Linked DNA regions of Schizosaccharomyces pombe. The gene in region 2 interacts genetically with the main gene of each other region. Each region holds a gene or a part of one and is shown on either strand. Other genes may lie near its edges.

Evidence for each region.
Region 1: of bbc1 (region 2) and myo1, changing one suppresses a phenotype caused by changing the other (phenotypic suppression), as found in Schizosaccharomyces pombe (one study listed by BioGRID).

What each region holds. Positions count from the first base shown.
Region 1 is NC_003423.3:1,023,463-1,029,740, forward strand, and holds myo1 (myosin I myo1), read right to left. Parts: upstream 4,512-6,278; 5' UTR 4,469-4,511; coding exon 4,466-4,468; intron 4,422-4,465; coding exon 771-4,421; 3' UTR 501-770; downstream 1-500. Other genes in the region: monooxygenase Coq6, read left to right, coding at 1-393; coatomer beta subunit Sec26, read right to left, coding at 5,654-6,278. UniProt on the Schizosaccharomyces pombe protein: Type-I myosin implicated in the organization of the actin cytoskeleton. Required for proper actin cytoskeleton polarization.
Region 2 is NC_003424.3:4,104,924-4,112,578, forward strand, and holds bbc1 (SH3 domain-containing protein), read left to right. Parts: upstream 1-1,724; 5' UTR 1,725-1,903; coding exon 1,904-6,739; 3' UTR 6,740-7,121; downstream 7,122-7,655. Other genes in the region: RNA polymerase II CTD phosphatase Rtr1, read right to left, coding at 193-786.

The sequences.
Region 1 (6,278 bases), on a different chromosome or scaffold from region 2:
GGTTCTAGGGCGGCATTTCCGTTGAGACTTGCCCATGTTGATGAATATGTAAAAGAAGGAATTGCCCTTTGCGGGGACGCTGCTCATAACACTCATCCATTAGCTGGACAGGGATTAAATACTGGAATTCAGGATGTTGAATCTTTAATATCAGCACTCTCTTTTGCTATCAAGCACGGTCAGGATATTGGTAGTGTTTTTTCACTCCAACCGTATTTCCGTGACCGTTACTTCAAAAACCATGTTTATCTAGGAGTCGTTGATAAGTTCCACAAGCTGTACGCAATGGAAAATCCGGTGGTCACTTCTGTACGAACCCTTGGACTTTCATTATTTGATCGCAGTGCTAGCTTGAAAAACTTCATTCTTTCTACGGTAGCTAATGGAATTTAGTATTGTCGAAGTCTACTATACTATATTTACGTTTTACCACTGGAGCTGACTAATTTATTCAAACAATAAACAAGATAATGATTTTAATATTATTACAGAAGCTATCACTTTTGTCCCATTTATAAGTATACGCTATGCAATGTATCAACTATATTTCACAATTAAATTACTATTTAGCTTTGCTTAATCAAAGTCGTCGACGAAGAGTATTCTCAATCTATCACAATAAAACATGCAAGAAGCAAATACTAGAAGCTTTCATTGATAGCTAAAAAACATGCGATAGGAGAGACTATAGTTGTCACAAGCCATTCATTATTGCAAATTAAGAATCAAGCAATGTACTGGCCGTATTATATATACATCATAATGAAAGCTCACCAATCTTCTTCTTCATCACTACCACGCACAGCTGATGCTCGCATGCGCAAGGCATCAGCAAGTGAACCAGCTAAGTTGTTGACTTCAGCTGGACTAGCATTATTATTCGCTTGAGCTGCAACATTAGTCGAAGAAGCGGTGGTTTGAGGTGTAGAACCTTTGTATTCTGTCACATAGGTTGCGGGAACCCATCCTTCAGCACCATTCTTTAAAGCAAGCCACCACCCGCTTGGCTCCTTTTGAACAATTTCTATAATTTCGTCTTTCTTGATAGTCATTTCATTTGGACTGCGTCCCGCAAAGTCATATAAGGCCAAGTACAAGTCTTTCTTTTCGACTTCAGCGGGAGGAGGAGGAGGAGGAGGAGGAACAGCACTAGGCTTGCTGACGTTATTAGCAACTGGAGCAGAGGGTTTAGAGATATTGCTTGGAGAAGAAGCTGCAGAAGTTACCGTGGAAGGAGCTGGTTTAGAAGCAGAAACAGTGGTTGCTTGCTTAATAGTTGTAGTCGTACTTGTAACTGGGGCTGCAGCTTGAGTTGTATTAGGACGAGCTTGCATAGCAGGAGCAGGGGGACGATTTTGGGTTTGTTGAGCAGTACTTACGGGATTAGCCATAGGAGCAGGTTTGCTCTTCGCAGCCGGCATAGATACGGGCTTTGTAGCAGCAGGTTTGTTCTGCACAACTGGGCGAGGCCCTCTAGCAGCTGCTGTACTACCACCAGTTGCTAAGCGAGGGAAAGGCTTACTCTTACTGGTAGGAGGCAAGCCAGTACCAACATGAATAGTTCCACTCTTGTAGTAGTCATAATCCTTAGTGGTTTCGTCTTTTGCCGTCTTAACAGTTTGTACCTTGCCAGGCTTTCGGCAGTATTGAATGGTGGGACCCACGATAACTTGAATATTACGATTGATTCTCTTTAAGGTAGTTATAAATTCTGTTTTGAAAAAGCATCGCAAAAACATATCTCCATTTTGGCTGGACTTATTACGAATTGCAACCCAATCATCTTGCAAATTTGTAAGACCAACAGAATCGATGGAAGATACAGCGAACTTCTTCTCCACCTGTTGTGTGAGCTTTTGGTCAACAATTTTTGTAATCACCAAATATAAATTCTTTTTGGTAAGAACCAGTTGACGAGGAGAAGGTTTGGAAGTGCGGCCTAGCTTATGAACAAGGACCTCACATCTCATTGAGAAAATTACGTGATCGTTTTGAGAGAGGCCGCATGTGTTCCATAGAGTACCATTAGGCTTTGAAGCTGATAGATAATCTCCATAAAACTTACGGGATCCCAAAATACTATATCTTCTGCGTTGCTTTTTACCTTGCAAAAGTTTAGTACCCTCATTACGAACACGTTCAAGTTCCATGTTAACTTTGTTCCTATTCCACAACTTCTGAATACAAGCAGCAGCTTCAGATCTTCTTCTAACATAAGAACGCCAAGCACGTTGTATACGGGTTGCCATTGTATCCCAAAACTTATCACGCATGTCTTCGAGCGCGAATAAGGTCTCCGGATTTTTAATGAAAACTTTGCTAGTACCCATTTGGTATTCAGATGAAGGAATATTGGTATCTTTCAAAATCTGTTCGCAAGCAGACTTATCATCACCCTGCCAAGTGTATTCTCCTGCATAACTGGTTTTACCACTAAGAACTGCAAAACGCTGAGCAAACGTATCGAAAGCTTGACGATAAGCAAAACCAGCACGACGAATACGAATGTTTTCTTGCAAACCTAAATATTTGATTTGATGTAAAACCATCTGCTGATCGTAATCGTTAGGCGACTTAGTCTGATTGGGTTTAATCGTACGTATATACGATGGTTGACATTTCATAAGAGTCTCTACTAAATCATTAGCAGAAGTTTTGATACGATCACCAGCTGTAGGAGGACGACGACGGGAGTTACTCTCTTCAGCCACTGGGAAAATAGATTTCATGAACTCGTTGTTGGAAGAATGAATAAGGTTAAGAATATCAGTTGCTAACTGATCCTTATTCTTATCGGTCATTCCTGTAATGCTGTAGGTTACATCACCAGCGTAATGTTTGACTATAAATTGATTTTGTCTCTGTTCAAAATGTGGATTGGAGGATAAAAAGTTTAACCGCTGAGCAAAAGCACTATCCGCCGCAGCAGAGTCAGCATGAGCGGTAGCGATAGCGTCGTTCATTGCTGCGAAAAGACCAGGAGGTCGTTTGGATTCAATCAAATCACATACAACTTTATTGTTGAAATATTTGATAGGAGTCCAAGCAATTTGCTCACGCACGTATTCTTCCTGTTCAGTTTTCAAAGTAAGTTCTATAAAAATTTGTTGCAATTTTTCATTAACATAGTTAATGCACAATTGTTCAAAAGAGTTGTTTTCAAAGATTTCAAAGCCGTAAATATCTAAAATACCAATCGAATTGGAAACGCTGTTGTCTGATGTGACCAAAGCTTTGTTGACACGTTCGACAATCCAATCAAAAAGACAGTTATAAATCGCCATAGACAAAGCATCACGAACAGCCAAAGCTTGTGTTGGATTTAAGGGGACTTCATATACAGATCCGCGCCTTGCACCATGCTGAGTTTGCATAATACGAATTGTCAAGGCACGCTCAATAGCCGCAACAGGAACACCGATCAAATAGCCTAAAAATTCGGTGATGCTCTTGTCAGAAATCACGCTACCACCATCTTGGCCTTCTTGAAATTGAATATTTCCTAACCAAAGGATGATAGAAAGCATCCTAAATATTTCATCTTGCTCCGGCTCGGTGATACCAATAACCTTCATGGCGTTCATCGTTCCTTGGAAGTCCTTCTCATCTGAAATCCCATCAACCGACAAACATTGACAAGCAGAAGTGTAAACATAATTCTCCGGACCTTGAATGCCATATGTATCACGATATTTCTGAGGAGCGCTCTTGGTGAATTGATAGAAAATATGGAAATTACGCTCATTGCGAACTTGATTAACAATTCGGTTCTTTTCTAATAAGTAGTTCGTAATTTTAGCGCCGACAGGAACACCTCCGGAATTAAAAATCATTTCTAAATACTTTCCATGACGAGAAGAATTATTATTGCGAAGAGTTTTTGCACAACCAAAACTTTCCAATAAAGGATTGGTAGCTAAAATAATTTCGGAAACTCTTTCAATTTCAGTGCCAACGGACTTTGAAACATGTGTAATATATTGCATGATCCTTTTTGCAGCCTCAGTCTTACCAGCACCCGATTCACCAGAAATGATAATACATTGATTCTCATGATAAGACTTCATTTGATAGTAAGCGTTCTCAGCAATTGCATAAACGTGAGGGCTCGTTTCCAAACGGTTTTTTCCTTGATATGATTTCAAAATATCCATCGTATAAATACCCAGGTCTCGAAATGGATTTACAGAAATCAACACATGTCCAATATATGTATAAATCTCTCCATTGCGAAATCTCAGTTCCAAGTTTTTGTTAATTTCCTCATCTGTAATTTTCGAAAGTAGGGTTAAATCATCAACACCCACAGTCTTTTTGCGTGTGCTGGTATAAACAGCCTTTTTAATACCATTGCTTTTCCCAGTGCTATTGGGAGCAGCTGCAGTCGCAGCTTTCGCGCGGTTTGTTCTCTTAAGGATGGCCTAATTTATTAATTAGCTAACATTCGGCATGCATATTTACTTACCATAAAATCTATTCACTTATGGCCGAACAAGAGATAGGTTAACGACAAGTCCGCACTTACGTGTAGGTTTCTTCTAATACTGAGATAATTGCGTTACGGATCGTTAAAATGAGCGAAATATGAGTTTCTAGGTCAATATTGCCAAAGACCGTTCGAAACTTCAGACCCCAATTATTAAAATTGTACTTTAGCTGAAAATTGAATATACTTTAGCTTTCTGTCGTTTGCTTCATCCATTTTTGGTATTGACATTAAAACAATTACCTAGCCGAAAGAGGCTTGTTATGTAACATACTCGAACGAAACTTATCCAAATGTGTTTTAGGGTAACTTCATTAGGTAAGGTAACGAACACACTAAAGGTATGAAATTTGCGACTAATTATGATGAAGTGATAAACATAACGCGCTTGAATTAGTTAATACTTGATTTGATTATTGTGTGTTCATGTAGTCGATAAGATGAATTAAATGAACATGAATTTTCAATTATGAATATTTTAAGTCGAAGATACCTTTCATAAAGCGAGAAGTTTTGAAGTATTTTAGATATAACGGCTATCGCCGTTTCAAGAACCAAAGCAGCCGCAGATTATTATAACGCGACATAAAAGGTTGAATTCCCCAGCAAATACAACTGTAGTTCTCGTATTGACCTTGAGTATATTCTATGACAATTAACTTATTACAGATATTAGGATGTAACACAATATGAGAGAAGCTATATGATTTGCAGTAACTTAAACATAATCATCTGTTTATATCATTTATAAAAGAATACAAACAGTGATTTATAGACAACGTTTGTGAGTGCCATAATTAATTGAAATAACGGGGTTTATATATAATACCAAACTAAATGCACGAGATGAAAGCTAATCTACTTGCCTGTTACAGAGAAATACAAGGTACACAACTTTAGTAATGTCAGGATATCAAGTAGTGAGAACATGACAAGGCAGGCTCCTTTTAATTGCGAAATCGTAGAAATATCATAAGGAGCTAAATAAAGAACGGCAGGAAAGGTATTTACAACAAGAGTAATAAAACAGCGTATCAGATATCGATTTAGCGAAATATTAGACACATGATATACCTACTAAATCAGCATCCATAACAGCTTTCCCATTGTGAATTTAATCCATCAAGAAATTTAAAGAGTGGATAACATTCCTTATATAATTCTACTCTAAACAAATGCACCCAAGCTAAGGGCAATGCCTTGAGTTTTTGAACGAATGCGAACATGTCCTGAGATAGGACCGGAGACGGATTTTTCAACGCTAAGACTCATAAGTGCGTCTTCCCCAAAAATACTGCAGGCGTACAAATTAGCACTCAAAAAACCACAGTCACCACGCAGAGACGCGTCTGGAGTAAGACAGTTCATATTGGTTTTCTTCATTATTTTATGTAAGAAATCGTACAGACTAATGTCTTCGTTGGAAGAAATATCGACCTTGTTTTCCCATTCAAATTCCGTCCACATGCTACGGAATTGAGATTCGGGAATGAATGCGGGTTTTATATAATCAATAATGTTGACTGGAATGCCATTCAAAACAACAATTTTGTCTTCGTCGGATGCTTTACCACCATACACGATATTTCCAAAGATTACTGCAGACTCCGTTGAAGATACCTTTACCGTAGCCTGAACAGATTTAAAGGCATGAGGTCCTAAATTCATGGGTGGTGGACGCTCTACAACCTTAAGATCTCCCAACGTAGCCAAATCAACAGAGAGATTCTGTAACGTGGTATCCGTTCGATTAACCAATAATATGTCTAGAATAATATCAAATTGTTGTATC
Region 2 (7,655 bases):
AAGGGAATATTGTATCGATCTTTAATAAAAAGTCGAAAACCACAGAAATGTTACTATGCACGCAACTGTAGAATGAAGCAACCTTTCATTCTAGTTCAAACGACGCTAGACACAAGTCGGTGTCTTTTTTGTTCAAAAATATTATACATATTCTGGGGTGAAAAGAAAAAATTTGATAAACTTCCATTTGCTTTATGATTGTTCATTAGCCAAAGGATGTTCAACGATTTCACCAACTTTTGCCTTATAACCCACAGGCAACGCTTGCAGGAGTAAGCGTACATCTTCAATTTTTTTGTTTTCCAACTCTTTACGAAATGCTTCATCTTGACGAGGATCGAGATGTTGTTTCATAGCTTCGCGAGCATCTTCACGTATCCATAATGGTTCGTCGCTCAACTCAACCATATATTGACAACTTTTTAGAAAGCAATCCTTCGAGCAATAATAGTTGAGTCCACCGTAGACCTTCATTCCTGAATCTTCTAATTTATACCTAGTTTGCTGCTTAGGTTCATAAGGACAAACGGGATAACCGCACAGATTGACGAGTTTACGCTCCTTCACCACTTGATCGTAATCACTTTTTCGAAGGTATTTACGAGCTTCCTCTAAAGTTTCTAGGGAAACCGGATCAACCAGCTTTTCAATCCATTCGAGGGCAAAAAAATCATACTGAAGTCGACTGCGTGCTTCATCTATAAGACTCTTCGACCACGTGATCAATTGCTTTTCTTGAGTGCTTTGAGCATTTTTCGGCTTTTTGAGAATTGATTTTTTGTTCATATCTGAATTGGATATATTGGAGTCAGCTGGAAAACAGAAGGTCTTAAAAATCGCTATTAGGCAGATATGAGTCAGTCAAGCATTGGAAGGAGGAATGAGCATCGTAAAAATACTTTAGCGCCGTGCAATTTTTGTTAAAGAGTTCTTGAGTTACGCAATTCATTTACAGCGAACTAAGACAGTGCGTTGGCCTTGGTACTAAAAATTTTGATAGAAATTACCCTCTCAGTTGAGTGTGGACAAAGGAAAAAAAATAAAGAAAAGCATGCGTTGCACCAATCATGTAAAGAAAGTTTTGTAGGTCTCTTTAAGAAAATCATTTTACCGTTAAAAATAATAATGATAAATTTACATCCACCCTATTCATATCTTCCACTAGTAAATAACTGGTCCTTAATCTTAATGATTCATATCCATATCCATACCATACCCCACACCCACACAGTAATCGTAAATATAGCAAACCAACGATGCTGTGGCTTCGTTTTAGGATTGCTAGTGTATCCTTATGTAAAATAGGAAACCAGATCCAATTGCGTAAATATTATTATAACGTTAAATAACAAAAACCAATCAACATTGATAAGCAAAATAATACCCAATAATCTTACAGTGCATTACGCTACCTTTGGCTAGTCGAACGAATCACTGTCAACAAGATGTTACGATTGGAAGGGAATTCCCCAGATCCTTTCCCCACAATGTTCATTCATTGAAAATCGTCTCACATGTAGTCAGTCGCTTCTTCACGTGCGATATTATCATTTGGGTGTTTATTGCTGTTAAGATTGACCAAACTTCTTTGTCTGCACAAATCGCGTGCCCTTTAGGAACCAAAATGACAGTGTACTGGCTTAGATATCCTAATAGAAGAGATTAACGATGACGTTCAGCTTCGCTATCATTTGTATATATTTTTAGTGGTAAAATAAATCGGCGGAGCCTTCATCTTTGGTATCTTGTTTTCTCTTTTTTTGGCTTTTTGTATATCTGTGTTTTAGGAAAAAAGAATCAGTGTATTGTATATTGAATGGTACCATTCTTTTTATACTGGTTCATTGTTTATCTGATCTCTCTTTGTACTTAAAAAAAGTATTAGCGGATCGCAGGCTCCACGATGAGCTCGTTTCCCACAAGAGTGGTTGCACTCTATCCTTATAGAAGCAGCTTCTCCGATGACTTGGAATTTGATCCAGGCCAAGTTATCGACGTCGTCAGTAATCTGGACGGCGACTGGTATACCGGAACATATGTGGACTCGGACGGTAACAGGAAAATTGGCTCCTTTCCAAAGGACTTTACCGAGCCAGCAGAGGATGCTGTGTTTGTAGAACGTGCTAGCGAAATGGCTCTTCATCAACCTACGCCAACTAGTGCTGTTCATTCTCGCAACTCTTCCTTAGGTTATGCTCCTTCTATTACACGTAGCATCAAGTCGATTTCCAACAATACAGAGCATCTTGGTGCCGATACAGAATCATATCTTTCAGCTAATGACTTTATTGACAGTACAAGTGAAGCACTTACGAAGATAGTTGATGTGGATACATTGAGTGCGCCATTCGGTAACGACAGCAACTCGCGTCCACATTCTTTAAAAAATGTGGAAAAATTGCATACATTCTCAGCTCCATATACCATATCTGAAGAGACGCCATCTTGCTCCACTGAGAACGACTCGCTACCACTTACCGCTACTCACACTATTACTGGTGGTGAGGATGCTGCTACCGGTGCTGCTGTAACCAACACCACCACTACCCACATTACTACTTCCACCAACACGTCTACCGTCATCCCCTCTAACCCAAATTCAGTTTTTCTTGTCGATTGTACTCATTCACAGTGCCCAACTGATTTACCAAACATCGCAACTACCCAACACTCTTTAAGGTATCTTGATAACGCATCTGCATCCGCAATAACCGTTTTGGAACGCACTCATCCCGCAGCTTCTTCCACCATGGCTACTGAGTCCTCCCATCAATCTCCGTCTGCGGACTCACAGGCAGAAGAATTATCAAAGAGCCAGCGAGTTGCAAAGGATGACGATCCTTTTGTTGTTTCCAATACTGCGAATTCCGATGAGCCAGCTTCAAGCTCAAAGCCCGCTAAACCCCTTACTGATTTGAATCGAGCCTTTTCTCAGCGCCTTAACTTGGATCCTCAAAAGCCCGGTAAATCACAGGGCGAAATCAGTGAGCAGGAGGAAGATGAATATGACGATGCTGAGTCAGATGAGATGCACAGTCCCTATAGCACTCACGAACCCGAATCTGAACCTGAAGACCAGGATGAACCATCGGAAAAGGATGATGAGAATAAAGATGTAGAGGAAGAACAAGAACAAGAGCAGGAGGAAGAACAAATTGATCCCGAAGAAGCTAAACGAATTGCCCTACGCGAACGAATGGCAAAAATGAGTGGAGGTATTGGTATGCATGTTTTTGGATTGCCTGGTCTAGCTGCACCTATTGGACGGAAAAACACTTTGAGGAGAACTCCTGCCAAATCCTCCGAGGAAGCAAAGAGCACCACTAATGACTCTTCTCCACCAAAAGACTCTTCTTCCACTTCTACTCAACCTACTGAACAATCGAATGCTCAGCAGGCTCCGTCACCGAAGGAGGAGGAGCGTCCACTTCCTTCCGAACCTTCTCAAAACCAACCAGCAGAATACCGTGATACTCCTGATACCCCCCGGAATATAATGCCTTTACCAGGCCTTATGTCTGCCGACCAACCAATAAAGGTCACTGAGCCTTCCAACGATGCAGATAAAGCTATTGTTGCTGAGGGTCCCAATAATGAGGAAGAGACTAAGGGACCAGTAATCCCAGAAACTCAGGAAACTTCCGAACAGCAAGTTCATAAAACTCCTTCTCCGGAGAAGCAAAAAGTGCTTTCTCCTCCTCCAATTATTACTAACTTTGATAAGGAAACACTTGCCTCTAATGAAGCACACGAAGCGGTACCCCAAAAGCCTTCTGCTCCACAAGTCACTCGTCTCATGGCTCCACAAGATAGCTCTTCAGTGGTAACTCCTTCCCCAACTTCTTTGCTGGATCCTGCTCGTGCTGTTCGTAAAGTAATTGATGGAATTGATCCCCCGAAAGAAGCTGGTGCCGGTGCTACAGCTGATGTAGAATCGGCTGCTAACTCACCAATTACGCCTCCTCGCACCTGGCATTCGCCCGATTTTACCTCCAAGTCGTTTGAACCCATAGAGCGCAAACTTCCCAGTCGCATTTCTGAGGTCACTGAGGACAGTATTGACGAGGATAAGCAGAATGAAGTTGACCCTTCCACCAGTGCGCGTGCTCTTCCTCCGCCTGGCTTACGGTTTGGTAAAGTCGACACTTTAGCCAGTCTTGCACATGATGATTTAGATGATTTACCAGCAGTTCCACGTATATTTAGCCCACCTCCTTTGCCAAAGACGCCCTCTGGCGAATTTGGAGATAATGAATTTATGTTCCCAAAAAAGTCAAATCGTGTTCGTGGTCACCAGTCCAGACCTTCAACTGGTTCCCAACTTCGAAATGTTGTTCCTGTTTCTATTGTAACTTCTGGTGGTCGCCCCGCTTTACCCGACGAAATGGCCTCGCCTAGCTCTTCTATCGGTCATCCTTTACCATCTCCTCCTCCAGCGGATTTTAATAGTTTAAATGTGGATTTTTACGAACCTCATAGCTATCTTGAATCTCCTGCTCCCGAACCTCAACCTTCTTATGAGGAAGAAAGTTTTAATGCTACGGTAATACATGCTCCAACTCCTAGTACTGCTACTTTTCAAGGTCATCCTACCATATCAAATGTTGCTACTCCACCTTTGAAGCAAGATGTTACCGAAAGCAAAGCTTCTCCTGTTGCTGATGCCTCAGCAACACATCAATCTAGTACAGGGTTAACTCAAGAAATTACTCAATTAGGCTCAAATATGAGATTACCCACCAAGTTGACACGTCCATCAAACGATGGACGCAAAGCTTCTGGACCAAGGCCTGCTGCTCCTCCCTCTATTCCTCCACCTTTACCAGTAAGCAATATACTATCTTCGCCGACTTCTGAACCTCCAAAGGATCATCCACCCTCGGCGCCTTTGTCGAAACCAGTATCAACTTCACCTGCTGCTCCGCTAGCCAGGGTACCTCCAGTTCCTAAACTTTCGTCTAAAGCACCTCCGGTGCCATTGCCTTCAGCTGATGCTCCACCAATCCCAGTACCTTCTACTGCCCCTCCTGTACCCATACCCACTAGTACTCCACCAGTACCGAAATCTTCTTCTGGAGCTCCATCAGCACCACCACCAGTACCAGCACCTTCATCTGAAATTCCATCAATTCCAGCTCCGTCTGGAGCTCCACCGGTGCCAGCACCTTCTGGAATTCCACCAGTGCCAAAGCCTTCGGTCGCAGCCCCACCGGTACCAAAGCCTTCAGTTGCAGTTCCACCGGTGCCAGCGCCTTCAGGAGCTCCACCAGTTCCAAAGCCTTCAGTTGCAGCTCCACCAGTGCCAGTACCTTCGGGAGCTCCACCAGTTCCAAAGCCTTCAGTTGCAGCTCCACCAGTGCCAGCGCCTTCAGGAGCTCCACCAGTTCCAAAGCCTTCAGTTGCAGCTCCACCAGTGCCAGCACCTTCTTCTGGAATTCCACCAGTACCAAAGCCTGCTGCGGGTGTCCCACCGGTGCCTCCACCAAGTGAAGCTCCACCGGTACCAAAGCCTTCTGTGGGTGTTCCTCCAGTCCCCCCACCATCTACAGCTCCACCGGTGCCGACACCTTCCGCTGGGCTTCCACCAGTACCAGTTCCTACTGCAAAGGCTCCTCCAGTACCTGCACCTTCTTCTGAAGCCCCTTCAGTTTCGACACCAAGATCTTCGGTTCCGTCGCCACACTCGAATGCCTCACCTTCTCCAACTTCTTCTTCTATGGCTTCTGCTGCTCCAGCACGTACTTCAGTTTCAAGGTCGAAATCTAAAGCTGAAAGGCATGAAACATCGACAAGCAGTCGTAAGTCTTCAAAGTCTGGAGAACACCATCATCATCACAATGAAGGACATGCTGATTCATCTTCTACTCGTACGTCATTAGCGCATCAAGACAGTCGTAAATCTCTTCATCGACATCTTTCGCGCTCTTCGAGTAGAGCTAGTAAGAAACCTTCTATTGTCTCTACTACTGGACCTTTTAACGAAAGCTTTTCTGCAAAGCCGGTTGAGCCTTGCGCTTCTGAGAAATGGTGGCTGAATTCTACTGCTGTTCCTAAATCCGTAGTGCAGATGAATGACTCTGTTCTATATATGATAAAAGAAGGAATTACAGGGCAAGATAAAAAATACAAGTCTGTACACATACTGTTCCCTGACTACAGCCAAACAGTCTTGACAGCTACATTCAACCCACATAACCAAAATATTACACAATTATCTCAACTTCAACTAGCTCCACCAGCACAGCCTTCAAAAGCTAGATTAGATGAGGAATATGCTTGTTATGGCTCTACAATTTTGAAAAAAGCCCGAGCTTACCAAGGTAGCATGGTTGGTGATGGTTCTGCATTCACTTTTGTTAATTCCGTTATGTCGATACTGGCGCATAATCTCGAACCTATAAACAAACAGACTTTTGGAGGTGTGATTTACAAGAATGTTGGAAATGTTACTGTGCAACAAATTGGTGAGATTCGCCCAGGTGATATAGTTACATTTGATAAGGCTAAATTTAGTGGACAAAAAGGTACTCTTCGTTCAAAATACTCTCTTGAAGTTGGTAAGCCCATGCATTATGGTATCATATCAGAGTGGGATGTTTCGAAACTGAAGATTAGGGTGTTGGAACAAGGCAGAGAGTCCAAGAAGGTTTCAGTTGCAAGCTACAAATTCGGTGATTTAAAGAGTGGAGAAGTTACTGTGTGGCGTGTAATGCGTCGATCTTGGCTTGGTTGGAATTAATGGTAATTATTTTACTATGGTTTTAAGTTCTTATCATTTTATCACAAATAACTCAAACTTCCTAAAGAGCAGCACTCATTTTTTTAAATTGTTCAATTGCGAAGCAGATTTGAATAGTCCTTAATGATCGTCTGTCAGTATATTCTTTCACTGATATATCTTTGACGATTGGGATTATTTATATCATTTTTTGACGACACGCCCTATGTTTTTAGAAGACTTATATCTCGTGGAAGTTGTTTGCTGAATTATATTCACATATATACCAAAGATTGGGCTATGTGATTCAACTTTTGAAATATATATACACATCTACAGTCATTTTTATAGTATATGCTAATAATCAGTTATATCTAATTAAACAGTTGAAATGCACAATTAACAATGTATGGTAAAAGGATAAGATTTTGTAAGTTATTGAACTGTACTTAAAGACAATTTCGGAAAAAAAAAATCCTTTACAAAATTCTAACTCTTTTTTCAAACGCTTGCGCTTATATAATCAACAAAAAACATTTATTTCGAGGTGAAACCGAAAATAACGGTTAACTGAAATATATACCTAGTCAAGATTAACGAGAGTGACTTTCACTAACACCCAGAGAACAAGGATGTAACATTGCAAACCAAACAAACTTCTTAGAAAACACATTCAGTTCAAGTGTTATGACTGTTCACCAAAATGAACAACCGTCAAGTGCAAAACGCAGTTTAGGGTAAACTAGTAAATAGGGAAACAAATGGAAAGTGTAAGAGTCATTTGAAGCAATAGACCCATTATTGGTACAAGAATTTGATGCCACACAAAGAGAAGTAAGAATAAATAGATTGAAAGATTTTTTAAAGGAGAATCGTATGTCGTTAAGATTATTGCTAGTGGTAGATTGTACTGTGGGATAACAACAGAATATAGGAG